Linked DNA regions of Saccharomyces cerevisiae S288C. Each later gene encodes a partner of the first gene's protein in a complex. Each region holds a gene or a part of one and is shown on either strand. Other genes may lie near its edges. The genes, in order: CTF4, PSF2, CDC45 and SLD5. A codon is read from its position in the direction of its gene.

Evidence for each region.
Region 2: the proteins of CTF4 (region 1) and PSF2 are in contact, whole or in part, in a cryo-EM structure (PDB 6PTN), measured with the Saccharomyces cerevisiae proteins. Residues at the interface, in NP_015461.1 of Saccharomyces cerevisiae: Phe517 (codon at 2,837), Phe518 (codon at 2,834), Asp519 (codon at 2,831), Val520 (codon at 2,828), Gly521 (codon at 2,825), Arg522 (codon at 2,822), Leu745 (codon at 2,153), Ala746 (codon at 2,150), Ala748 (codon at 2,144), Asp750 (codon at 2,138), Thr751 (codon at 2,135), Asn753 (codon at 2,129), Cys754 (codon at 2,126), Leu756 (codon at 2,120), Leu768 (codon at 2,084), Pro769 (codon at 2,081), Leu770 (codon at 2,078), Pro771 (codon at 2,075), Ser772 (codon at 2,072), Glu773 (codon at 2,069), Tyr848 (codon at 1,844); in NP_012463.1 of Saccharomyces cerevisiae: Phe28 (codon at 2,371), Arg30 (codon at 2,377), Val64 (codon at 2,479), Ala65 (codon at 2,482), Met66 (codon at 2,485), Arg67 (codon at 2,488), Ser68 (codon at 2,491), Ser83 (codon at 2,536), Lys84 (codon at 2,539), Ile87 (codon at 2,548), Asp132 (codon at 2,683), Asp133 (codon at 2,686), Phe134 (codon at 2,689), His135 (codon at 2,692).
Region 3: the proteins of CTF4 (region 1) and CDC45 are in contact, whole or in part, in a cryo-EM structure (PDB 6PTO), measured with the Saccharomyces cerevisiae proteins. Residues at the interface, in NP_015461.1 of Saccharomyces cerevisiae: Thr489 (codon at 2,921), Arg491 (codon at 2,915), Val505 (codon at 2,873), Asn507 (codon at 2,867), Gln510 (codon at 2,858), Ser512 (codon at 2,852), Thr514 (codon at 2,846), Ser516 (codon at 2,840), Arg524 (codon at 2,816), Glu525 (codon at 2,813), Tyr526 (codon at 2,810), His527 (codon at 2,807), Phe528 (codon at 2,804), Glu529 (codon at 2,801), Ser561 (codon at 2,705), Phe766 (codon at 2,090), Pro767 (codon at 2,087); in NP_013204.1 of Saccharomyces cerevisiae: Ser9 (codon at 3,094), Gln52 (codon at 2,965), Tyr256 (codon at 2,353), Leu259 (codon at 2,344), Ser260 (codon at 2,341), Ile262 (codon at 2,335), Gly263 (codon at 2,332), Glu264 (codon at 2,329), Thr265 (codon at 2,326), Gln296 (codon at 2,233), Asp297 (codon at 2,230), Glu298 (codon at 2,227), Lys300 (codon at 2,221), Arg301 (codon at 2,218), Leu302 (codon at 2,215), Thr303 (codon at 2,212), Pro304 (codon at 2,209), Ser305 (codon at 2,206), Ser306 (codon at 2,203).
Region 4: the proteins of CTF4 (region 1) and SLD5 are in contact, whole or in part, in a crystal structure (PDB 4C95), measured with the Saccharomyces cerevisiae proteins. Residues at the interface, in NP_015461.1 of Saccharomyces cerevisiae: Lys864 (codon at 1,796), Leu867 (codon at 1,787), Arg868 (codon at 1,784), Ala871 (codon at 1,775), Ser875 (codon at 1,763), Arg893 (codon at 1,709), Ala894 (codon at 1,706), Ala897 (codon at 1,697), Lys900 (codon at 1,688), Ile901 (codon at 1,685), Arg904 (codon at 1,676), Ala905 (codon at 1,673); in NP_010777.3 of Saccharomyces cerevisiae: Ile3 (codon at 2,620), Asn4 (codon at 2,623), Ile5 (codon at 2,626), Asp6 (codon at 2,629), Asp7 (codon at 2,632), Ile8 (codon at 2,635), Leu9 (codon at 2,638), Glu11 (codon at 2,644), Leu12 (codon at 2,647), Asp13 (codon at 2,650), Glu15 (codon at 2,656).

The regions. Positions count from the first base shown.
Region 1 is NC_001148.4:796,498-803,618, reverse strand, and holds CTF4 (chromatin-binding protein CTF4), read right to left. Parts: upstream 4,386-7,121; coding exon 1,602-4,385; downstream 1-1,601. Other genes in the region: ribosomal RNA-processing protein RRP9, read right to left, coding at 1-1,260; MSS18 (Mss18p), read right to left, coding at 4,762-5,568; TOM5 (Tom5p), read right to left, coding at 5,910-6,062; transcription factor SPN1, read left to right, coding at 6,409-7,121. UniProt on the Saccharomyces cerevisiae protein: Accessory factor for DNA replication. It plays a role in accurately duplicating the genome in vivo.
Region 2 is NC_001142.9:303,368-308,151, reverse strand, and holds PSF2 (DNA replication protein PSF2), read left to right. Parts: upstream 1-2,289; coding exon 2,290-2,931; downstream 2,932-4,784. Other genes in the region: YJL070C (metallo-dependent hydrolase superfamily protein), read left to right, coding at 1-181; ARG2 (acetyl-CoA:L-glutamate N-acetyltransferase), read right to left, coding at 296-2,020; JEM1 (Jem1p), read right to left, coding at 3,034-4,784. UniProt on the Saccharomyces cerevisiae protein: Functions as part of the GINS complex which plays an essential role in the initiation of DNA replication by binding to DNA replication origins and facilitating the assembly of the DNA replication machinery.
Region 3 is NC_001144.5:342,824-349,079, forward strand, and holds CDC45 (DNA replication initiation factor CDC45), read right to left. Parts: upstream 3,119-6,256; coding exon 1,166-3,118; downstream 1-1,165. Other genes in the region: ERG27 (3-keto-steroid reductase), read left to right, coding at 1-30; APC9 (anaphase promoting complex subunit 9), read right to left, coding at 147-944; LCL2 (Lcl2p), read left to right, coding at 3,762-4,157; tRNA splicing endonuclease subunit SEN2, read right to left, coding at 4,224-5,357; REA1 (AAA family ATPase midasin), read right to left, coding at 6,183-6,256. UniProt on the Saccharomyces cerevisiae protein: Required for initiation of chromosomal DNA replication. Acts at the origin of replication. Also has a role in minichromosome maintenance.
Region 4 is NC_001136.10:1,428,399-1,433,542, forward strand, and holds SLD5 (DNA replication protein SLD5), read left to right. Parts: upstream 1-2,613; coding exon 2,614-3,498; downstream 3,499-5,144. Other genes in the region: 3,4-dihydroxy-2-butanone-4-phosphate synthase RIB3, read right to left, coding at 1-582; PAC11 (dynein intermediate chain), read right to left, coding at 790-2,391; serine/threonine protein kinase PKH1, read right to left, coding at 3,570-5,144. UniProt on the Saccharomyces cerevisiae protein: Required for DNA replication. Functions as part of the GINS complex which plays an essential role in the initiation of DNA replication by binding to DNA replication origins and facilitating the assembly of the DNA replication machinery.

The DNA.
Region 1 (7,121 bases):
ACCATTATCGGAGCCTGTTATAAAGTGAAAATCATCCACCATACTCACAACGTCAATACTACCCTCGCAGAAAAATAAAGGTGCCTCTGATTCATCAGGATATTTGACTTCTCCATCTTCTCCCTCCTTAGCGTTTTCTTTCATCCATCTCCTTAGTAGCTTTTGAGGTTCATCGCCACCTCTAAATGTTAGTCTGGTCTCGTCAGGAATCTTCCAAAGCATAGCTGTTCTATCACGGGCACCAACGGTAACACACCTTTCCATCGCCAACGCAGATATATCTTCCACTATATCATGATGCCCATAAAGAATCTCCAACTGGGAAAATTGATTTATTGAATATGTTCTTATCTTAAAATCTGCGCAGGATGCATATAACTGATCAGAATTTTTTCTAAAAGCCAACGATAAAACTTCCCCTCGGCGATCCTTTGTTGGAATAACTTTAACGGGTGATAGAGATTCTGTGCTCCATACAATTAACTTCCTATCTCTTCCACCTGTGACAACATATTTACCATCTGGTGAGGCTGCTACAGTTAAGATTTCGTCATAATGGCCTTCTGTGGTATTCTCATATTCGTGCTTGCTCGTAGGTATATATTTTGCTCCTCCTTTAGCGTATTTTAGCTTCTTTGGTCTTTTGCTAAAGTCAGTAATGTCATATTTGGTGAGTTGTAAGTCTTTGCTAACTGTATAGGCAAATAACCTACCTTTGTTCTTATCGCCATTAGATGATTCCTCGAAGGTGTATTTGTTTAAAACGGGTTGGAAACAACTAATGCAAGTAAGGTTATTTTCCCCTACCCTGGTAAAGCTCTGTTTTGCTTCAGATATTAGAAGTTTATCGCCAAAATATCTGAAGACTCGGCCTTGCTGTTCAGCAACGTCTTCTTTTAACCTGGACGCAATGATATCCTTATCCAAATCTCCAGCATCAAAATTGTTGTACTCGTCGATTGTTCTTTCCTTGAGATTGTTTAAATCTTTTTCTTCAGCGTTCCTATTATCAGTTAAAATGTCATTAGCTTCGCTTTTCAGATTCTCCAGATATTGCTTTGCAAGCCTCCTTCTTTTATCGGCTGGATTTTCACCCTCGAATTCTTCTTCAGATTCCAATGCGTCTTCTTCATCCGAAACTTCTAGTTGTTCATCTTCGTTTGAGGATGGATCTGTGATTTCTTCGTCTACTGTGGGTTTTGATGGATTAACTTCTCCTTTGGATCTTTTCCTCTTTTTCTGTTGGGTAACATCTGACATCTTTTCTAGATTTTCTATAATTTTGAAATGCTAAAGAAGAAATAAAGAACTTTGAATTGATGCTTATTTGAATATTTACGGTACAGGACCAGGTGTTACACTGTTTAATCAAAGCTCATCTATAAAATGTCATCTCTTTTTTTTTTTTTCATATTTTTTCACTTTTTCCTTTCGCGAAAATTCGCAAGGACGCTTCCAGCTCAGATCATGTTCAACGTAACTCTTTATTATCGTCGCATTCAAAGAAATATATGTTAATGTGGGAGCATTTTGAACGATGATTTGAACAAATGAACAGGTATCAAATAATTGTCTCTTGCGTATATATATTTTACATTTTTTTATTTCAATTGCTGTTCATATCTAGCTTCCCTTATATTATTAATTTTTTTAACGAGAGAGGGCAGCTCAGCTCTTTCTGATATCTTAACGGCTGCAGTAAGTGCTCTATCTTGTTTTAATTCATGAGCAAGCGAAAGAGCCTTTTCAACATTTTGGTCTGAGCATGCAGACGCAAATAAACGTAACAAAGCCTTATCATATGCACCGTTCAATGCTGCCAATACCTCATTTTCGTTGCCGTACATTTCACCGTCATTTTCGAGTGTATCTGTCAACAGCTCTGACAAAACCTTGCTGCGCAGATACTCTTCTTCCGCCGCCATAGAAACAGGAATCTGTATTTCTTTGTCTTCTTCCCCTTCTTCCGCTTCGGTGTCAGCTCCAATTTCGTTCTTTTTATTTAATATAGCTTTGTTTTCCTCTAGTAATTTACTCTTAACAAATACTGGCATTCTAATCTCCATTTCGGATGGCAACGGAAGGGGAAACTCGGGCCATATATGCTTGCCCTTAACTAAGATACAATTCAATGTGTCATACGCCAAAGCCAAGGGCCAGACATGTATATCTGTCGTTTCCTTCCCTCCTGACATCTTCCATATTTCCATGTTGCTATCTAGAATAGGGAGCCATTTACTTTCTTCTGGTGATCTCCACTTTGATAACAATAGAAGCGTGTTGTCGGACCCAAAAATGCATGGATCTCCGTAGCTTGAAAAGAACAAACTTTTGATGCCCATCGGATTAAAATTGTAGTAGTCAAGATTTGCGTCTTTTTTCATATCAGAATTAATGTTTGGTAAACTCATTGGAAGTGGACACTCTCTTTTATAGTACCTTTTACTAGAAGTACCCAATTCAGATAAAGAGTATGAAAGGCCATGAAACTGCGAATAATGTACTGAAAAAACCCTATAATTCTGAGCAGTAAGCGCTACAATTGGGGATGTCTTTTCAACAGCAAATGGAACCCCGAATTGATTGAAACTTCTGAAATAGCCTAATGATGTACCAACAATAACGCGAACCGGGGTGGCTGCCACACTTGTTATTCTCTCACCAGCTTGCAAAGGAATAATCTTGGTCCAGTTTGAATGTATGCTATCGTGTGGCCTATATTGTATCTGCCCAGTTTTGGATTGGCCAAATAAAGTGCCTTTTTCATTTAGGAAGCATAAATCGTAGCCAAATAAGTCCTCGAAATGGTATTCTCTAAAACGTCCAACATCAAAAAAAGAGACAGTTATGCTGTATTGCTCACTATTCTTGACAGTAGATACGTAGCCCACTTCATTCATTGTCAAATAACGCCTGTCAGTAAAGCCAAAAGGTGTTCCCGCTGGAGAAAAAGGCATATAACGAAATTTTCCTGTGTTTGCCAAACTGATTGGAAACGAATGAGTCTTGTGTACTCTCGAATAAGAATGTTCATTATGTGGTTTTTTGCCACTAATATAACCAGCACCATCGTCATCATCAATAAAGTCTTCTTCATCTTCGAAGTTGTATTTTCTCTTTTCACTTAATCCACTGGGGCCGTCGTGTGTTTGAGTGAACACATCTTCCGCATTCGCTTCTTGAGTAATATCTGAAAATAGCTTATCGCTTTTGTTTATATCATCATTTCCCTCTAAGTTTTCCAAGTCAGATTCGGAGTCTACAAAAAGCCCATGTTTAGTTGAAGATTCAGCAACAGATTGGTCAGGTATATTAGATACTACGGACTCTGCCAAATTTTGGACAATGGCTATACTACCGGACCAGGTACCTAAAACAAGGTCTAGAGTTTTTGAGTCCGCTTGGATTTTCCAGGCAATATTAGTAATTTTTCTTTTGAATTCCCTGGTGTAGTGGATCTCGGAAGTTTCCCAATTCCATACCGTTAACTTATTATTTAAATCTACTGCCGCAATGTAAGTTCCACGTAACGGGTCAAATTGCAAATCAATGAAATGAGCCTTTGTTGATGAGAGATTTGTGGACAACGTCTTTTGTAGGGAATATCCCTTTATAGAGAATATTTTTACTGTATCATCTGCACATGGTAGCGCAAAATGCAGACCCTTCGGATGCCAAGCCACTCTCGTGCAAATTCTATTAGCAGCACAGAATTCTGGATCAGCTACATTGTTCTCATCTGGATCAGCCGTTTCACTCAGGTCATTATCATTGTCTTTATCTATATCATCCATCATATTCGAGAGTATCTTATCTCTGTGTGTATCATCATATGAATTGGCCACTATGTAATCATTTAACTCATGAACTTTGTTTGGAATAGTAGATGTCAGAGAAAAAATTTGTACCTTACCATTTATCATTGAAACTGCTAAAATATTCATCTGTGAATTGTAAGAAATTTGAGAAACTTGTTCATCGATTTTAATGGCATGTTTTTTGTGTGTTTCATCGTCCAATTCCAAAAGGATTAGTTCTAAGTCGTCTCCTCCAAATACGGCCATTTTACCTGAATGAATAACACAGCAGTCACGTAGGGGTAAAGCAAATCTAGCCAATAATTCTTCTTGACTAGAATCGATGTTATACCTAAGAGCATCACCTTGCATTGTAGTCATCAGAAAGTGCGAGTTTGAATAGCATTTTATAGACGAGACCAATTTGGAAGAATCTAAAGTCTCTGGCTCTTCTTCTGGGTTATTTGTCTTCAGAATCTTGGTTAAGCCATTTTTATTGGCTACACACAAAGTATTATTATCTGGTGCGAGAGAGACCAGAGTTTTCCCACCAAAGTCAAAAACAAGCTTGTCTATAACTGAAACCATAATAGTACGTCTAGTATATTTACGTCACTTCTTGCCCTTCTCAATTATTTTTCCCAAGCTTTCTTATTAATTTAATCTATATGTTCCCATATGTTGGCGTATTCAGGAAACTTTATTACGCGTCGCGTTAAACAGTTAACAATTAATCATTAGTGGAAATTAACGAATCTTAGTGAAAACACCCATTCTCCAGGTGAGATTCTTTCAAGTATCAGGCAAACTACGATTTCACCTAATGAATATCACAAGACGTTTTGAATAATTTTCTGAAGCAATTATGAAACATTATGAAGATATATACGAATATGGATAAGCCTTGTACCTGTGATTTTACACTCAAATTGGACATAAGTAGTACATGAAGAGGATGATTAATTCATCCTTTAACGCGCTTGTTCGAAAATCCTTTGAAACCATGTAATAATATATCCAGATTTTCGGCTGACTTCTCATCAATGTTCATCATCGTCGTTTCGTCGTCTTCTAGACCATTTAACCAAAATTTCATACTCATTGGTAGAGAAGAATATGTGTGGTACAGCGACGGTTCAAAGTGAATTATATTTGGTCCGTATTGGCCGTCTTTCATCCCGACTGATGGTGTAGAATGTTCATCGACCAAAACATCATAATTCCTTCGGCACTGTTCTTCCTCTAACCTGAAAAACTCTTCACTAGATATGTCCACGCCTTCACCTTCTGTAGTGCTAACGTAACGTACCGGCCTCTCAGCAAACAAAAGGTTGCTGTCCCGTTGGAGTTGAAGGAAAGGAGAATCATGCACTTCTACTTTCCCATTCCATCTATCTAGCAGACTTGAATATTTCTGTTCCAGGTTATCATTTTTCTCTTCGTTCGTTTGGACACTAGTCATCGTGGTTAGAGTGGGTTCCTCACCCTTCGTATTCATTATGAGAGCTTTTAAATTAAATAAAACCGTAGCCAGCTTACGAATATCAGATGAAGCCAGTACCAAGTCTAATTTCGGTCTTGTTCTCTGAAATGTGCCATTATTTACTGCGAAAGTCGGCCTTGCATACTTAATATTGGAGAATGTACTCAATTCTGCAGTTATTCGGTTATTCCAATATAGTTCCTTCGGTGGGTATACTGTTTGATAGAATAATTTTAACTCCACAAGTATGCAGTTTTTTCGAAGAAAGTTAACTTCAGGTAAACCCATATGTGCACTGATTTTCTCTTTTCCTTGGTTATGCGTAATAAAGGATTATTTTGTATCGCAACCTTCAATTAAGGTTATCACATTTTAATAATAAAAGCTGGTAAAAAAAGCCGAAAAATCTGCCTGGACAAACATACAGAATACGCATATATACAAGCGAAGAAAGGAGATTTAGGCTCATTAGAGCAGTATCAATTTTTTAAAAAATATTTACACGTCTTTCTCTAAACTATATAAGGTGGGGGGCGCAAATTGACCATTATTTAATCAAAAGCAAATACAAAAAGAGAAACATATTTTAGTGTCATTCATAGATGCAATCTTTTTTCTTCAGTGGGGAATTATTTCCATTGCTTTTTCACCAAATGCCAGATCATTGGGGAAACCCAAAGAAACGCAGCCACATAAGCGGCCTGTTTCAAGGTTTTCTCAGTTTGTTCTTGATGAGCTCTTTTCTCCTCTTCGGAGACTTCCTGTTGAGGTAGACCAAACATTTTATACTATCTAGTTATTTGATGCCAATGGACGCCTTTTGTGGGAAACTGCAATTCGCTAATATTGGTGTAACGCCTCTAGAAAGAAAGAGTAAACTTTCGAATTCATTTCTTGATTTTATGATGTGCGGTATTCTTCCAAAGAAGGGTAACAAGAAGGTTTTTTTCTCTCACAATTTCTTTGAAGGGAAGTTTTGGAAGAGTTAACTGTCAGCTTCATTGCCCAGCATCTTTGTTTGATAGCACTTGTAAAGTATATGCAGGCCATATCAAGGGAGTTTATTGTCCTCTGAAGTATATATAGAGGAACTTTTAGTAATAAAAGGCAAAAACATATCAATTAGCAATGAGTACAGCCGATCAAGAACAACCCAAAGTGGTGGAAGCGACACCAGAAGATGGGACAGCTTCCTCCCAAAAGTCAACTATAAACGCTGAGAATGAAAATACAAAACAAAATCAAAGTATGGAACCCCAAGAAACTTCAAAAGGTACCTCCAATGATACTAAAGACCCAGATAACGGAGAAAAGAACGAGGAAGCCGCAATAGACGAAAATAGTAACGTAGAAGCTGCAGAAAGGAAACGTAAGCACATTAGCACAGATTTCTCAGATGACGACCTAGAAAAGGAGGAGCATAATGATCAGAGTCTTCAACCAACGGTGGAAAATAGGGCTAGTAAAGATAGAGATTCAAGTGCTACTCCAAGTAGTAGACAGGAATTGGAAGAAAAACTGGACCGTATATTGAAAAAACCAAAGGTTAGAAGAACGAGGAGGGATGAAGACGATTTAGAACAGTACTTGGATGAAAAAATTCTAAGGCTTAAAGACGAAATGAATATTGCAGCACAGTTGGACATCGATACTTTAAATAAGAGAATAGAAACTGGAGATACTTCGCTGATTGCCATGCAGAAGGTCAAATTGTTGCCGAAGGTGGTAAGCGTACTGTCAAAGGCAAACTTGGCAGACACCATTTTGGATAATAACTTACTTCAAAGTGTCAGAATATGGTTGGAACCCTTACCTGATGGGTCTCTGCCATCTTTTGAGAT
Region 2 (4,784 bases), on another chromosome or scaffold:
TAAAAAGGCGCCTTACTTTGAGGAGAACGTGGGTGGGATAGATAATTGGTACGATACAGCGAAAGATACCTCGATAAAGCACAACGTTCCGATGATTAGAAGAAGATATAGAAAGGAGACATTGGATCAAGAGTGGAACTTCGTTCGGGATCACTTTGGAGTAATTAACTCCATTTGGTAGGGTAAAGTGAAATATCAACAACTTTGCATAGTAAGATATATATATTTATATAGATACCTTAAAAACTGAAAATGAAAACTTGAAAGTTAAGGAGGAGGAGAATGCGTCTTTGTTTCATGAAATATTTTTTTCATTTTCCCAACTTGGCTTGATGTCCCTGACAGACCTCATGAATTCTCTTAAACGTTTCTTGTCACGTAGTGCCCTCTTAGCGTATTGAGGGTTACCGTAGTAAAATAGTTTAAATTGGCTTTGCTTTTCATCACAGTGTTCGGGGTCTAAGTCAATCGACAAATCTAGCACAGCAACGCTACGTTGAAAATACCACTTGTTCACCACATTGTCTTTTCTGCTTCTCCAAAGTATCTCATTAGGAAATTTTTTGAACATCAAATTGAAGATTATATCAGATATACCCAGCGAGCCTTTCAAGTGTGGTAGAACGGCGAACTTATCGAGATAAACAAAGGAATTTTCCTCCGAGCCTTCATAGGTAAGAATTGCAATGCCTTCATAATCACCTATCACAATAATTGTAGCTATTTTTCCATTAATCCTTTTTATGTAGTCATGCAAATCCAAAGATCTTTTAAAGCTCTGATCGATGATGGATTTAAATTTGTTGATATCTAGTTTTGGACTATTGCTCGAGGGTTTTGCTCCTTTCTCAGGTACGTGAAACTTCTTTGGAAGCCCAATTGAGTTGAATTGAGTCAGCGTCTTATAGTCATAAGTTTTGATATGGACGCCCTTTTTGAGAACAGTTGTCACTAAAACTGCATCTGAGTTAGAAGGAGCTGCATTTACCTGTTGGGAAGGCAATTCATACCATGCGTGATCATCAAACATGTTGGCTGGTGAGTCTATCTCGCCGTCCTTTTTTTTAAACCTTGGTAAAGAAGAAGAAATTAGCGATCGGTCTGTCAATAAATTATATACTAAAGGATTTTTCCTATCTGATGATAGTGCGGCAGCTTTGACAGTTGTAATCAGTCCCGTTGCTGTAGCCGCTAGATTTGATAAAACTTTGTCCATCAATAACAGGTTTTCTAAATGATCATGGTATTCACATTCTAAGGAAGATATCTCATCTTTTTTAACGTACACCTCCATTCTGTGTAACAGGTTTTGGGAGCGTGGCTCTCGTTTGGTTAGAGTGCTTATATTGTGAGATAATGACGAGGACAAATGCTCGAGTTCCTGAGAAAGATTGATGAATACATGAGCGTTATCATTTCTCTCTCCCGAAGGTATACCTCCGGCATTATTTAGAATGAAGAATTTGTCAATGTGTGGAATATTCCCTTGGCACAGGCAATCCATAAATTTTACAACATCCTTTGTCATGAATTCTGAAGCAGTCTCTTCATTATACACATAAGGTTTCACAATTGGTATAAAATTGGAATTTCCAATATCAAAGAAACGACTCTCTTGCGAAAAAACAGAATGATATAACCCAGTGCGGGATTTAGTAAGACCCTCCTTAAGGTGAAGTGGCTTTAAATCTGCTTCTGTAACGATACTGTCAAGTAACTCTGCCTGTATATTTACATGAGTTGGCGACGGCGGAATTACAAACATAGGTCGCAAACCTAGCATTCCTAGTCTCTTTATGACACTTGAAAACTGGGACAAAATCGCTGGTGCGACTTTATGCAGGTCCCTGATAAAAAACAAACAATGATTATGCTGCCCACTATCATTTGTATATTTTGAGAGATAATCCTTAGCCTCTCGTTTTGTAGCGGTTGTATTCAGAACTGAAAGGATCAAGTTTTTTGAAGATGCATTGGGTTGATCATACTTGAGTTCATGCGCGAATATTCTCCTCCACATGATAAAAGTAACCGACTAGTGTCCTAGATTGACGGTCCTAGCTTCAAATGTGTTAACTTTCACAATTTATGTCGAACGTGCTTATGACTCCATGGGAAGATCAGTGATGACTAACCTTTTTTTTCTCCAGCGTGAAATTTCTTGTGATATTTTCCATTTAATGAAAAATCAGTCGCCTAAAGTGTAACTATGAAATGGTTAACAAAAAAGAGTTTTATACTTAGAGAGGATCAACGGCTGATCTGAAATAAGACTAGTTTCATAGACGCATGTCACTACCGGCACATTTGCAGCAGACTTTCTCACCAGAAGAAATACAGTTCATTGTGGAAAACGAGCCAATAAAGATTTTTCCCAGAATAACAACACGCCAAAAAATTCGTGGCGATGATAGAGGAACTGGAAACCACACCCGCTGGCAACTTATTACTACAGATGACAAAGCTTTAAATAATATGGTAGCCATGCGTTCTACAGAAGTGGTTCTTTGGATCGCTCTATTACTGAAGCAACAATCCAAGTGCAGTATTGTAGCACCACAGTGGTTAACGACGAAAGAGCTTGATAGAAAAATACAATATGAGAAAACTCATCCGGATAGGTTTAGTGAGTTGCCGTGGAACTGGCTTGTCTTGGCACGTATACTTTTCAATAAAGCTAAGGATGATTTTCATGACCCCATTCACGAATTACGTGGTAAAATACAAGACTTAAGGGAAATAAGGCAGATCAAAGTGTTAAAAGGCCTTAAGTATTTGAATGAATCTCATTTACAATTGGATAATTTAAGTCTATTAGAAATCAATGAGTTGAGGCCGTTCATTACTGAAATCATGGATAAACTGCGAGAAATTCACACAGCATCTCTTACCGCTGGTACTGAAAATGATGAAGAAGAATTCAATATTTAAAAAAGTGCTGGCTTTGCAATAATTAGAACTTTCAGTGATATGCGTATGTATATATATGTACTTGTTGTGGTATCCTAGTTAATGGGCATAGAATGTATTTCATCAAAGCCCAAAATTCATTTTAAAGCCATTTCCGAATGGGAAGCCACTTCCTGGATTTTTGAACATGTTATTTTGCCTAGGCCCCTGAGGAAAAGTGTTGCGGCGGGGGTTTGATCTGGAAAGATCGTATTCCTTCCTTTTATCGTCATCACTTAATGTTTCGTACGCTTCATTGATTTGTGACATAGTTTCGTGAATTGATTCTTGTTTGTCGTTATGGTTGGCCTTTATTTTGTCTGGGTGGTATTTTTTGGTTAAATTTAAATATGCTTTCCTTATTTCTTTCGAACTAGCACTAGGCGATACTCCAAGAATTTTATAATAGTCCTTTTTTGGGTCGTAGTTAGGCGCTGCTGGGGGTGCTTGATGTCGTTGGTGTTGTTGCTGCTGTTGTTGTTGTTGGAAATATTGCTGGTTGAAATTCCGATGTTTATGCTCTTTATAGGTTTGTAATTGTTTCTGTAATAATCGGAAGTTCTTCATCACGTATGGATTGGTCGACTCTGAGAGGCCGTTATCTTGGAAAAATTTGTTTATCTGGTCATATAATTGCTTTTTGAACTGTGAATGAGGTTTAGACCTACTTTTATTAAGTATTGAGTTTACCATATACATCAGCAAATGAGGATTGGAATTCCATACATCACTCAATACCGTCTCAGGTAAAGGTTTTTGCTCGGACTTAGCATCCTGATAGTGTTTCCATGTTTCTAGTGTTAGTGAATGCCTCAAACTCTTTTTACAGAACGGCGCAGCCAGTTTAGCTCTCTTGACGTCCGGACTCATGCTAGAAGCCTGACAAAGAATGGAATCAATGTATACTAGATAATCGGTATGATAGTATGATTTTGGTTTGACAAAACCATCGGTTATTGGGGGATCTTCGAATAAATTTTTTGCCAAAGGTCTCGACAGTTGAACGTCTTCTATCAATTGTTTGATAATTTCCTCTAAAAAGAAGTAGTTGTTTTTAAAGTTTGTATCTTTGTTAAGAATTTTCATTGGTGTAATAAATGGCTTCTTATCCTTCAAATAAAATTCAATAATTCTATCCCAACTTCTAAACTTTTTGTTCTCAAATGCATATGTTGCTGGATCCAGGATCTGTCTTTTTGATGGATTCACCTTGTTCAATTTGGAAATAGTCAGGCTTAGTTTTTTACATTTATCATAGTCCATATCAATGGAAAGGCATTTTCTTATATTGAACGACGCATCTGAGTTAAGTACAAAGGTCTGTAAAACAGATATGACATAATGAATCGAAAGTCTTGTATCTATGCTTAAGCTAGCCAAATGCTTGTCGAGGATTGTTTCGTAATCCAAAATGATAGCAGCAGCTAACGAAACGTCAATTTCTTCAGCTAGTTTGTGAAAAAGAACATCGATGTGCGTGGAGAGGACGTTAACATCGTACGGCGTTATGCGTAGCAGCTCAGAAATATCTTCCTCCACAGAAACGTCTTTGGATGATATTTTGTTTCTGATGGTTTCATTCAAGGACAGATATTTCGCATACTGATCATCCTTCTGATGCACCTTGTCCCACATCCCAAAATCGACATACAGCTCTTGTAGCCTCTTTTCCGCCAGCTTCCCAAAAGAACCTTTGTAAGTTTCATTAAAAACGATTTTTTCAAATGTGTTAATAGCTCTTAGATGTTGATCGTTGGATAATTGGATCAGCCCAATTTTGTAGTATATTTGATTGGCTAGTTGAATTACGTCTGACATATTTTCACTTGCTGGAT
Region 3 (6,256 bases), on another chromosome or scaffold:
CAAATTGTTGAAACTAGAACCCCCATTTAATATATCTCTGCGTACATATGTATATATATATATGTGTGTATATACATGTATGTCTGTATAGAAAACGCATATCAACTGATATATATACACGTGAAGCAAAAAAGGCATTGCCTCTGTCAGAGAAACGAACTATCCTCGTTGCTATAGTGTCTTCTGCACTTATCGCGTAGACTTTCTATTGGCACTCTGTCATGGCATTTAATCTTGTACACATTCTTTAATTCTTCTTGCAAAAGAAGGTACTCTTCATGCAAATGATGACTTTGGAGTGAATTGACTAATCCTGAGTCGTTCCAGAAACTTTTTAAGGCGTTCGTTTCATGATTTATTATGTCATCCAACCGTCTCATATTAGGTTTCGAATTTGTTACAAATTCTCGCCTTGATAACCTCTCCAGGTCTTCTTTGTTGCATCCAGGTACACTCTCTAACAACATTGAACCATTGCCCTCCGGATTCGCACTGTCATATTTATTAGCCTCTTCGCCGCACATGATGTCAATATCGGGTCGATAGCTGTCTATGCCGTCTAGATGGCCCACCTTATGAAACACAAGACAATGTGCTGCCCTTTCGGCTTTCAAAAAACTGTCAATTCTACTTTCCCTTAGCGTATTGCGCTCACAAAACGGTGAATAATCGTATTGCTTTTCTTCCTCGATGTGGCTCAAAGTATTCAGATAGTCGACTTCGTCTACGTCCATATTTATCCCATAGAGATCATCTGCAGTCCTCTCCTCTAGTACTTCGCCTGTTATGGGCATCGAATCATCATTTATTACCCTTGTCGACCTTTTCCGTAGCGGTGTGGTAAAATTGTTAAAGTTGGCTTTGTTGAACCTTGGTGTTTTCCAGGGCGGCAATGACGGTAGTTGAAACAACTTGCCTTCGTTCTTATCACCATTTTGGTTCATCTTACTTTGTCACAGCTATTTCTTTCCTTCCTGAATTTGTCCTTCCAAACCTAGTTCCCTGTTCTTAATTTCCTTTTATTTAGGTTTTTTTTTTTGTTTTGTCAAGAGCCGCGCACAAAATATGGTATTATTATAGAAAAGTTGGACTTAAAAGCTTGAAAAAGCTTAGATTTTATATTCATATGCTGGTATATATGTACGACTAAATAATATAAATTTGATTATAACAATCCACTCAAGGTCAGCTTCTCCAGGAATGGTGAAAGATCTTCACGACGTATTTCAATTATGGAACTTTCAAAATTATCTATTCTCACTTTAGCATCCGTTTCTGCAGTTATTTGTTGAAACGCCATGCTGAAATTATTCAAAATAGGTTTTTTTGTGTGTATCGTGTCTAGTCCGCGAGGATACCTAGGTGTTAACCCAGCAACCAAGTAAGTGTCCGTATTTTCATCTATGCTGGCAAGCACCATGGGCAACAATTGCTTGTCTTCAGATTCCGCACAGCATTCTATGAGCCAATTTCCTAATCTTAATAACGTCAATGGGTTTCTGTACAAGTCTAAATCGGGTCCGTCTTGTAAGACGCATAATCTATAAATTCTTAAATGCTTGATTAATTTCTTCTCCAATATAGCAACCCCGGTATTAAAAATTGCTCTCTGTAAGTCTTGTGCTAGTTGAATGCCACGGTTTAATAGTTCCACCTTTCTGTCATCTAGAGCATCCCAACTGAGCCAAAAATTCGAAACCCATCTTTTTCTCAAATTCGTCAATTTTTGAGCGCTGTTATCTTCTTCTTCCTCTCCATCTGTATCGTCATTATTGTCATTATTTATTTTCACACTATCCTTATCAGTTGAATTACCTACTTCCAAAAGAGCTGTTAGTGCTTCGACAAATTCACTGGCACTTATGGACCCACGATATCCAAGAGTTCTAACAAACCCATCTCTAATTATATCTTGCAACCCATAACGATCCAAATTTTTGTCAAATATTATCCCAAGTTCTCTCTTAATAGAATGATCCATGTATAACCATGTTTCTTGTGCAGTACTTAATGGTATACCCATTCTAGCAAACATCTTATGCAATCTCTTTTTCCCATTTTCATTCCATAGGGATAGTTTGGCATTGACATAGTTAGAATAATAAAAACTGTCGTACAATGAAGAATGCCTCAGTAAGAAAAGGTAGTAATCCGGTTGGATGTTTAACGTCAATGTATCAGGGGTCTTTACTGAGTTTCTACTGCTTGGTGTGAGACGCTTCACTTCATCTTGCAATAAGGGGTATAATCGATTGTAAACTTGAGCATATGCTATATCTAACGAGGTCGTACCAAGTATATTCAACCACAGGTTTGAAAGATTTGTTTCTCCGATAGCAGACAATAATGAATAGATTTGTGCAGATATCGAGTTAACCACTGTTGTGCCTTGAGAATAGTATTCCTCCAAAACACCTTCATATTCATGGATTTGCTTCTTTCGTTGCTTTCTTTTTGAGAGATCATTCGGTCCTATTGAAGAATTACCTCTTTTATTAGATATTGTCTCATCTTCGTCTTCTTCGTCCTCGTCTGTGACTTCATCGGCATCAGTTGCCTCATCGTCACCCCCATTATTATCGTTCTCGTCACCTGAGAGCTCATCGTCACCACTCTCCTCGTCCAGTTCAAGCAATTTATAGTATGCTTCTTTTTGTTCGCCTAATGTGTCATCCACCGTACCGTCGTCAAAACATTGGATGATTTGTGATCCAAATATATTGTCGAGATTCCACGGTCTATGAGCATCCAACACGTAGATGTCTCTCCTGAAACTTTGTTCCCCCGACTTTTCATCTGTATCGATAACATACTCTTGGGGATCGATTTCTAAGAAAGCCTCCAGATCAATAACGCCTCCAAACCCTACTAATAGCAGACTATTTATATTGTCATCCAATTGAGAATAGTGGCGTCGTAATTCAGAGTACCCAAATATCGGTACTATTTGAGATTGTACCAATTGTTTTTTGAATAATAGTGACAACATCTTCGTCGCACACAGCGCATCGATGTTAAGACAAGAAACGAAAATGACCAATTGACATGATGAATGAGACGATGAATTCCTTAAGATTTTGTTGTAGGCTTCGCTAAACTGGCTGATTCCATAATACATGTGCGAGAGTATATTCTTGTTATTATGTGCCTTCTCTCTAGTGTTTATTGCTACACTTTTATTGCTCTATAGTGCGTTGTATAAAGTAGCCACAATGGATTGTTGGCATTACTACAGCTTCATTATTTACTGAAATTTCTTAAAACGCGTTAGATGATATGTTGAAAAAAAAATACGCGTCGTGAATGAAACTTATTAGGTTTTACGACTAGTTAAAGCAAGAGAGAGAAGATCGAATTGACTAAATGTCTTCACTTTGAATTTATTCTAGTAGGATTCGCATGGCTTTTTCATAATAAAAATCTCGTTTATTTATGCTTTTGGTTGGTTTTCCTTTGATAAATGCGGCCCTTGCTTTGTTTGTGGTTGCAACGAGTTCGTCAAATGATAAATTGACGCTTAACACAGACGCATGGGAACCACGTAATTGAATTAATGTTTTCTTCTCGAAACAATTGCAATGTGACTTTCTTGTTAGGCAATGTGAGATGAAAGATGGCCTTTACCTTTGCAGATGTTTGGGTGTGGCTCTGAGCTGTCCTTTATAATTATAGAGATAATTTTGATGAAAGCTCAGAAGACCTTTAATGACGAAAAATAGGCATGGTTTGCCAGGCAAAAAACGACCAAATTTTACTGTAGTATGAGTCAAAGTCGCTGGAGTATCGTTCTCATCTTTGCATTGTTTATTTTTGGCAGCACTGGAGTGAATGCCTTCTTCAATTTCGGTCATCATCAGCAACAGCAACAGCAACAGCAACAATCATATGAAGATCAAGTTTTAAATAACCCTTGTGATGGGTATTTGTGTCCGGACACCCTAACGTGCGTTGCACAGCAGAAAGACTGTCCTTGTCCCTTCCCTAAATCTCAGTTGAAATGTGTCCTTCCTGATAATAAATTTGTTTGCATATCCAAACCAGCCACACACAATGAAAAGTTTAGAGCAATATATGATGACCCTGTCAAGGGCCCCAAAGCAAAGAACAAGGGGTTTAGGGATTGTGGATGGGTATCAGATGCTTACAAAAACCATTGAAATCTGTATAAAAAATACATACACATACATATATACATACGAAGGATTTATCTTCTCATTGATATTCTAGTCTCTATTTCTTCCGGGAACCCATCTCTTATACAATACTTCACCAACTTGAAAACTATTGAACAATTTAGTAAAGTTGTTTGATTTCCATAGTGCTATCGCCTCCTGTTCCGAGATTAGTCTCTCCACGTAGCATAACACAAACGTCTTCTTTGCGCCGCCCACAACACGGGCTATGCTAGAATACCACGTATAATCTTTAGAGACGTCGTGGTCAAGACCCATAACACAAAATTCAGCGTGTTGAAATGGTGGCCCTCTCTTATATAATAAATAATCGCAGCCGAATTTTATACCAGATCTTACGCACCAACCGTGTGATCTGTAGTGATGGTATATAACGTATGATCTGACAAAGGAGTGAATATCTTTATATTTGGCATCGAATTGAAACAGTTTCCCTGCCAGGCACGCGGGAGATATGTCAAGAACAGGAAGTGCAAAAGTTAAAAACATAGCTTCCACTGGCATTAGTTCTAGTGACTCTAGTGGCAAAAGATCACCGTTCTCATCAAGAAGATTGTTGTCTTCATCTCTTAAATTTGATTCGGAAATGTCTTGCTGTTGTGCAACGATGCCCACGTCTTCTGTTTGTTTTAGTTTAAATTTTCTTAATGATTCTCGTTGTTTCTCAAGGAGGATGTTTTCCTCATCGATATGACCACCTTTTTTTCTTAATTCTAGTAATTCTCTTTCTAACTTCGCACGTTCTTTCTTGAACTCTAATCTTTGTAATCTCCTCTGTTGTGTGACCTTCTCTAAAGTCATCTCCGTTTCAGTATTACTCTTTGTTCCTCCCCGATTGTGGAGGGGAGTATCATTGAGACCCAGTCTGGCCTCTGTTCTAGCTTTCCATGTAGGCTCACTCCTGCTAAATTGACCAGTGCCAAAAAATCCATTATTCCAAAGATATAGCATTTGCTTGTCATCTTGAACCGTGATGTGAAGAGTGGTATCTCCTATAAAATCTACATGTACTTTATCGTTCAGTGCGTTCGTACTCTTGTAATAGCGGTATGCCCAATATAGCCAAGATAACGGATTATGAAGGATTAACTCTGGAAGGTCATCTACGGGGTGAATTGGAAGAGGATACTTGTAACGCTTCTGATTGACCCTCCCTTTAGACATGCTCCTTCTTGAGTCCTTCGTACTTATTGTCTTTTCAGCGTCGTGTTACAATGAAACGTTTTAGCATATTGAATTTCGATGGAAGTTCAAATGTTTTATGCACCGAAATGAAATACTAGAGCAAAGAGATGTTAGTGAAAGCACCAGCTAATATAGCTCTTTCAAATTTACGTGAAAAAGTTATGTGTGGCAATATAAATCTATAGCAAGAGTGGCTTCTATAAAACATTTTTGACAAGAAATAAAATTCAGATACCGTTGTAGTCTTGAGAAATCATTGTGCTCACATCGATTAACTTCGAGCAACATAAATCATGCTATCATCATTAAAATAAAGTGGAAGTATTAAGAACAGATATAATAGCACGAGAAAAAACTCGTTCAACTAAGTCTAGACACACCTCCTGGTGTTATTTAGTCCGTTCTCTTAACAACCAAAGCCTACGAGCTCTCAAACAGCTCTTTTGTTTTAACTTCCTATAGAACTGAATGGGAAACTTGCATCTTGAAGAAAATTTTTCTCTTTAAATATCTGACTGAAGTATTGATCCCTTCAAAAAAAAAAAAAAAGAGAGTTGGTTACCCATATGGGAATAATATTTCTTAGGGCTAATTGACAAAGGATTGCTAACAGAAAATGCAAAGGACTAATAACTTGAATCATTTTTATATCAGGTTTATATAGGTATACGTTCAGTCTAATTAATAATTTATAGTTTACAGTAGTTTTTTACAGTAGTTTTTTTTTTTTTTTTTCAGTTCCATGATTTTTTTGTTCCTTTGATTCGTGTAGTAAACCTCCTCTTCTTGGTTTTCACGATATACTTAGCTGGATGCCAGGTCTGTAAAGTATTGACGCAAAATCAGTGAAAGCATTTCGGGTAGTTCGCTTATATCGT
Region 4 (5,144 bases), on another chromosome or scaffold:
AATGCCATGTTTCTTACCAAACGCTTGGCAGTCATTTAATCTCATCATAGTTCCTTGTTCGTCATCGTTAACCAATTCGCCAATAACAGCGACGGGACTTAGTCCACTTAGTTTACACAAATCGACACCGGCCTCAGTGTGGCCTCTTCTCTGCAAAACACCGCCATCAGCGGCTCTCAAGGGACAGATGTGCCCTGGTTTTAAAAATGATTTTGGCGTAGAGGAAGAGTCTGCAAGAGCCCTACAAGTCATCGACCTGTCGTGAGCAGAAATACCTGTGGTAGTGCCTTGGGCTACATCTACAGTTATTGTGTATGCAGTTCCATGCCTGTCGTCATCATTGGATTCAAACTTCATGCCTGTTCTCAGTAGTGGAAGGTCCAACTTATCAGCAATGGCATTCGTCATAGGTGCACAGACGTAGCCTGAGGAATGGCGTACAAGAAAGGCCATTTGTTCAGTGCTGACATTTTCAGCAGCGCAAATAAGATCACCTTCATTTTCACGACCGGCATCGTCCATAACAATTACAAACTTATTCTGCTTGAAGTGTTCTATAGCTTGATCAATTGGTGTAAACATTTTCGACGTTGCCTTTTCTTCTTTTCCTTTCCTTTTTTTTAGCCTTCTGCTTTTTGTTGGAGATATTTACATTCACCTCACATATATACGCCAATGAAAATTTCACAATAGCACGTATATTAATAATAGCCTTGCTTTTTTTTATCAATTCTCGCTAAGAAATTACTCATCAGGCAATAACCTATGCTCACCCGCCTCGAAGCGGCGTTAGGAGATAACAGTGGCCGTGTAGAGGGACGTCTTAGCATCGAAAGCCCAATTTACAACAACGAGGCGACCATCTGCACACCACACTTGACACCGTAGAGTGCGACTATTTTCCCCTCCATTGTTTTTTTCGAGCCAGCGTGCACGTAGTACGGGCCCCCCTAACAACAATGGCGCCCCTATGATAGCTTTCCCTGCTCGCGCGTCCCACAGCCGCACCGTCCAGTCCGTGGAACATGATAATAGAAGCATTAGCCGCCGAGCATCGTCCCAATGAAACTCTAACCCGGTTACCCTCGTAGAGTGGTTTTCTGCAGGTTGGAACCCATTGTTGTCCAAAGAGAGGTACAGCGGCCCAGGTTGGTCCCAGAAAACCTTGTATATACCACCGTCTTCGCCACCGATCCAGACGTACTGCGGGTCCTCACTCGTGTACGCCATGCAAGCTATACCTACCTCATCAAACTTTGCCAACCGCTGCAATCGCTCCGTATATGTGCAAGTATCATTCTCCAAAGATAAAAGCTGTGATAGCGGTACAGGACGGAGCTGCTGTGGCTTCCGCAAAACAGTCAAGTCCAGGCAGCTCAACTCCATAATATTGCCATTATCAGCTGCCACAAGTACTCTCTCTTGATCTTGCACGCTGCTTGTTTCAATTACAGCCACCACTGGGTGCTGAAAGTAGTGTCTTGCCACCATATTTCGCTGCACGACATACACTACCGGTGTTTCTGGCTTTTTCTGTTTCAATCTAAGCTCGTACAATATGATCTTGCCCGTCAAGGTCGCCAACAAGATTGATATTACATTGCTTTCCGGATGATACCGACGGAGGATCGTGGCTGTCATGATCCGCGTACCACGGAACTCTACCATATCTATCAAGAGGCCGTTGCGTCCGCTGGCATTATCGCACTTGACTACATTCACCACAGACCACGCCGCTTCGCTGCTAGCATACTGTAGGTCTGCCGGCGGCAATCGTAGATAAACCACAACCAAGACGCCTTTTCCTGGGTCATACTCCTGAGCGATACAATCGCAGTCTGTCTCTGATTGTAAATTCTCACTGACCATGTTCCATTGCATGAGGTTGTCTTTATCCTGTTGCATGTTCGATGGCGCCTGCTGGCCTGACGCAGAAACCTCTGTCTCCAGCCGCGCAAAACTAGCGTTGCTCAGCGTTGCCGCCGCCTCTTCAACAAGAAAAGGTTTGGCTAGTTCTAACCTTGGCTGGTCGTTTTCAGCTTTGTCTTTATTATTTTCGTCGGCAGCAGTAGTTTCAATGGCGACAGCATCAGTAGTGGTGTGATTTTCATTTTCTTGCAGTTGTTCTTCCTCAATTTGATCTGTTTGAATGCCTTTGTCGTATGTTATAACCTCCTTACGTCGAAGATATGCAGATTGGGGCTCTTGAATCTTTGAGCCTTCCTCCATGTCGGTCTGCACTGAAACGCTGACCATGGTTGCCTTAGCGTGCACCTCTGTGGGATGGTGGCCCATCGTCTCGCTCCCAGGGAACAAGCTGGCTTGTTTTCGCCTCTCACGCAGCTCTTTCAATTGTCTCCTTTTTTCCTCCAGTTGCTTCAATCGCTCCATCTTAATGTTTCAATCCTTCTTCCTCTTTGGTTGATTAACCAACTGTGATGCTCTTTTTTCCCTTTTCTCTTTGTTTACGGCAAAACACGAAAACTAGTTCATTTCTTTTTCTTTTCGCCTTGGACTAGTACTGAAAATTTCAATAGCATTATATTTGAGCCATAGGTAAGAAAAACCAAATTTGTTAGTATTGGGAAGGAGAATAAGATACCTGACTCGGTGATGGACATTAACATAGACGATATTCTTGCAGAACTGGATAAGGAAACTACTGCTGTCGACTCTACCAAGATCACGCAAGGTTCTTCTTCCACTACCCACAGAGATGCAAATACAATAGTGGGTTCGTCCTTAGACTTGAATGACAAGACTCAGATATATGTCTCTCCCCAGCAGGATTTTTCTGACTTGATGAAGTCTTGGAAAAATGAACGGTGTTCGCCAGAACTCTTACCATATCCTCATCAGTTGATGAAAAGATTATTGAATCGAATATCCATGCAATCTCAATTAATTGAAAACATTTCAATGGGATTCCTCGATATGCAAAATGCTTCTAATGCGAACCCGCCTATGCCTAACGAATCTAAATTGCCTTTACTCTGCATGGAAACTGAGTTAGAAAGATTGAAATTTGTTATTAGAAGCTACATACGATGTAGGCTAAGCAAAATTGACAAATTCTCACTTTATTTGCGCCAATTAAATGAAGATGAAAATTCGCTGATCTCTCTTACAGATTTACTATCCAAAGATGAAATCAAATACCATGACACGCATTCCCTGATCTGGTTGAAACTAGTCAATGATTCTATCCTGAAATACATGCCCGAAGAACTTCAGGCTATTAATGATACAGAAGGTAGCGTAAACATGATAGATGAGCCCGACTGGAACAAATTTGTCTTTATACACGTTAACGGCCCACCAGATGGTAAATGGAACGAAGATCCGCTATTGCAGGAAAACGAGTTCGGTAAACCTTGCTACACGGTCACAATACCCGATTTAAAGGAAGAGGTTGAACTCACTATTGGAAGTATTTACGTTATGAGATATGAAGTCATTAGGGATCTGCTGAGAGACGACAAAGTTGCTCTTATTTGAACTATTATGCATTACACTTTCCCCTTCACCATGTCTTACATATGCATATATATATATTATCAAGCACAGTTTCATTTTTCATCTGTCCGTGTCATGTTTTTCCGCATTTGTGTCGATCTTGCCAGCAATTTTGAGTAATTAGATGACGATCGGGTCTGCAACGAAGTGGGACGTTTTGTGTGAAGTGCGCCTTCTTCGGGTGTCTTTAAGATGCAACGGTCCGGTAAACCATTTATTAGCCTATTCGATTGAGGTACGGGAGGAGCTTGATTCTTTTTTTTTGTATTCTGTCTTTTTTGAAGAATGAACTTATCAAACATTTTATGGTCCGACTTCGGCGATACTACTTTAGGTTTGGCGGTCATTCCATTATGTATTAATTTCCATAGTTTCATTAAAACTGCTCTCTCTTTGCATCCTATGAAAATCGTCCTGGAACCGTCAATTTCAAGGACTTGATCACTTATAAAGCGTATCTTCTCAACGTCATTCAACTCTAGTTCGAATTGCAATTCAAATTCCTGTTCTTCCCACATGCTGAGACTTCTTCTCTTGACAAAAACAAGTGCTCTGCCTAGGTTTGTTATTAGAAACATTTTCTTGTAAAATTTGCCTGCACTATCAGTAGGAGGCTCGATATCAAGAGGGTTCTTGTAGTCCAGAGCCACGTTCTCAAGACCTACAGGTGAGTCCTCTAAGTTTCGTGTGGAAAGCGCTACCTCCTTCATCAACAAGACACGTTCATCCATATTTTGCAAGTAGCGTGACCAGAAGGCGTCAGAAGAGCGACTTCTATTATCTTTCCCCCGTGATGTAGTAGAAATTGAAGGAGATGATACAGATGCGCGATTTTTTGAAACCTTCTTTTGAATTACCTCGCGATCTGTGTTGTTGGAGGCAGATCTAACAGATGTGCTTGACTTGCTCCCCAATTTGGGTTGACTTGTATAATCTTTATTGAATGCGGCGGTTGCTGCAGTCATACTGATCACAGAATGCTCTTGAGAGGTCGCTGCTGGTGCTTGCAGGGGAGTATCTGCATGTCCATTACCAGCCAGCTGAAGGTTGGCCATTTTGACAGTGGTATCAGATTCAGAAACCTTTTGCAGGGGCTTCATCGCCTCTGCATTTATTTTATATGGCTGTATCTCCGGTGGATTATCATCCCAAACAGAACCATCTTCAAAGTTGACTTCATGGAAAAAGAGGTGTGCTTTGATCTGCTTTATGGTCAATCTATCATTTGGATCCCTAACTAATAGTTTTTTAACTAAATCTTTTACTATTTGCGGAAAACCTGCAGTAAACGCATATTGAATCTTCATTACTTTTTGGAATGTCAAATATTCATTGGCAGCTTTAAAAGGCGGTTTTCCCGCAAGCATTTGGTACAATATGCAACCAAATGCCCAAATGTCACAACGGGAATCTGTATAATTATCATTCAGTAGCTCAGGAGAAACATATTCTGCGGTACCAACAAATGATTTCGACTTAGCATACAAATCGAAATAAGGCTTGCCATCTGCGGTGTTCGAAGGTTCCTCCGGTAAAATTTTGGCTGTACCAAAATCCGTCAACTTCACTTTCATATTTTTGTCGAGCAATATGTTTTCGGGCTTGATATCCCTGTGAATAATGCCGAT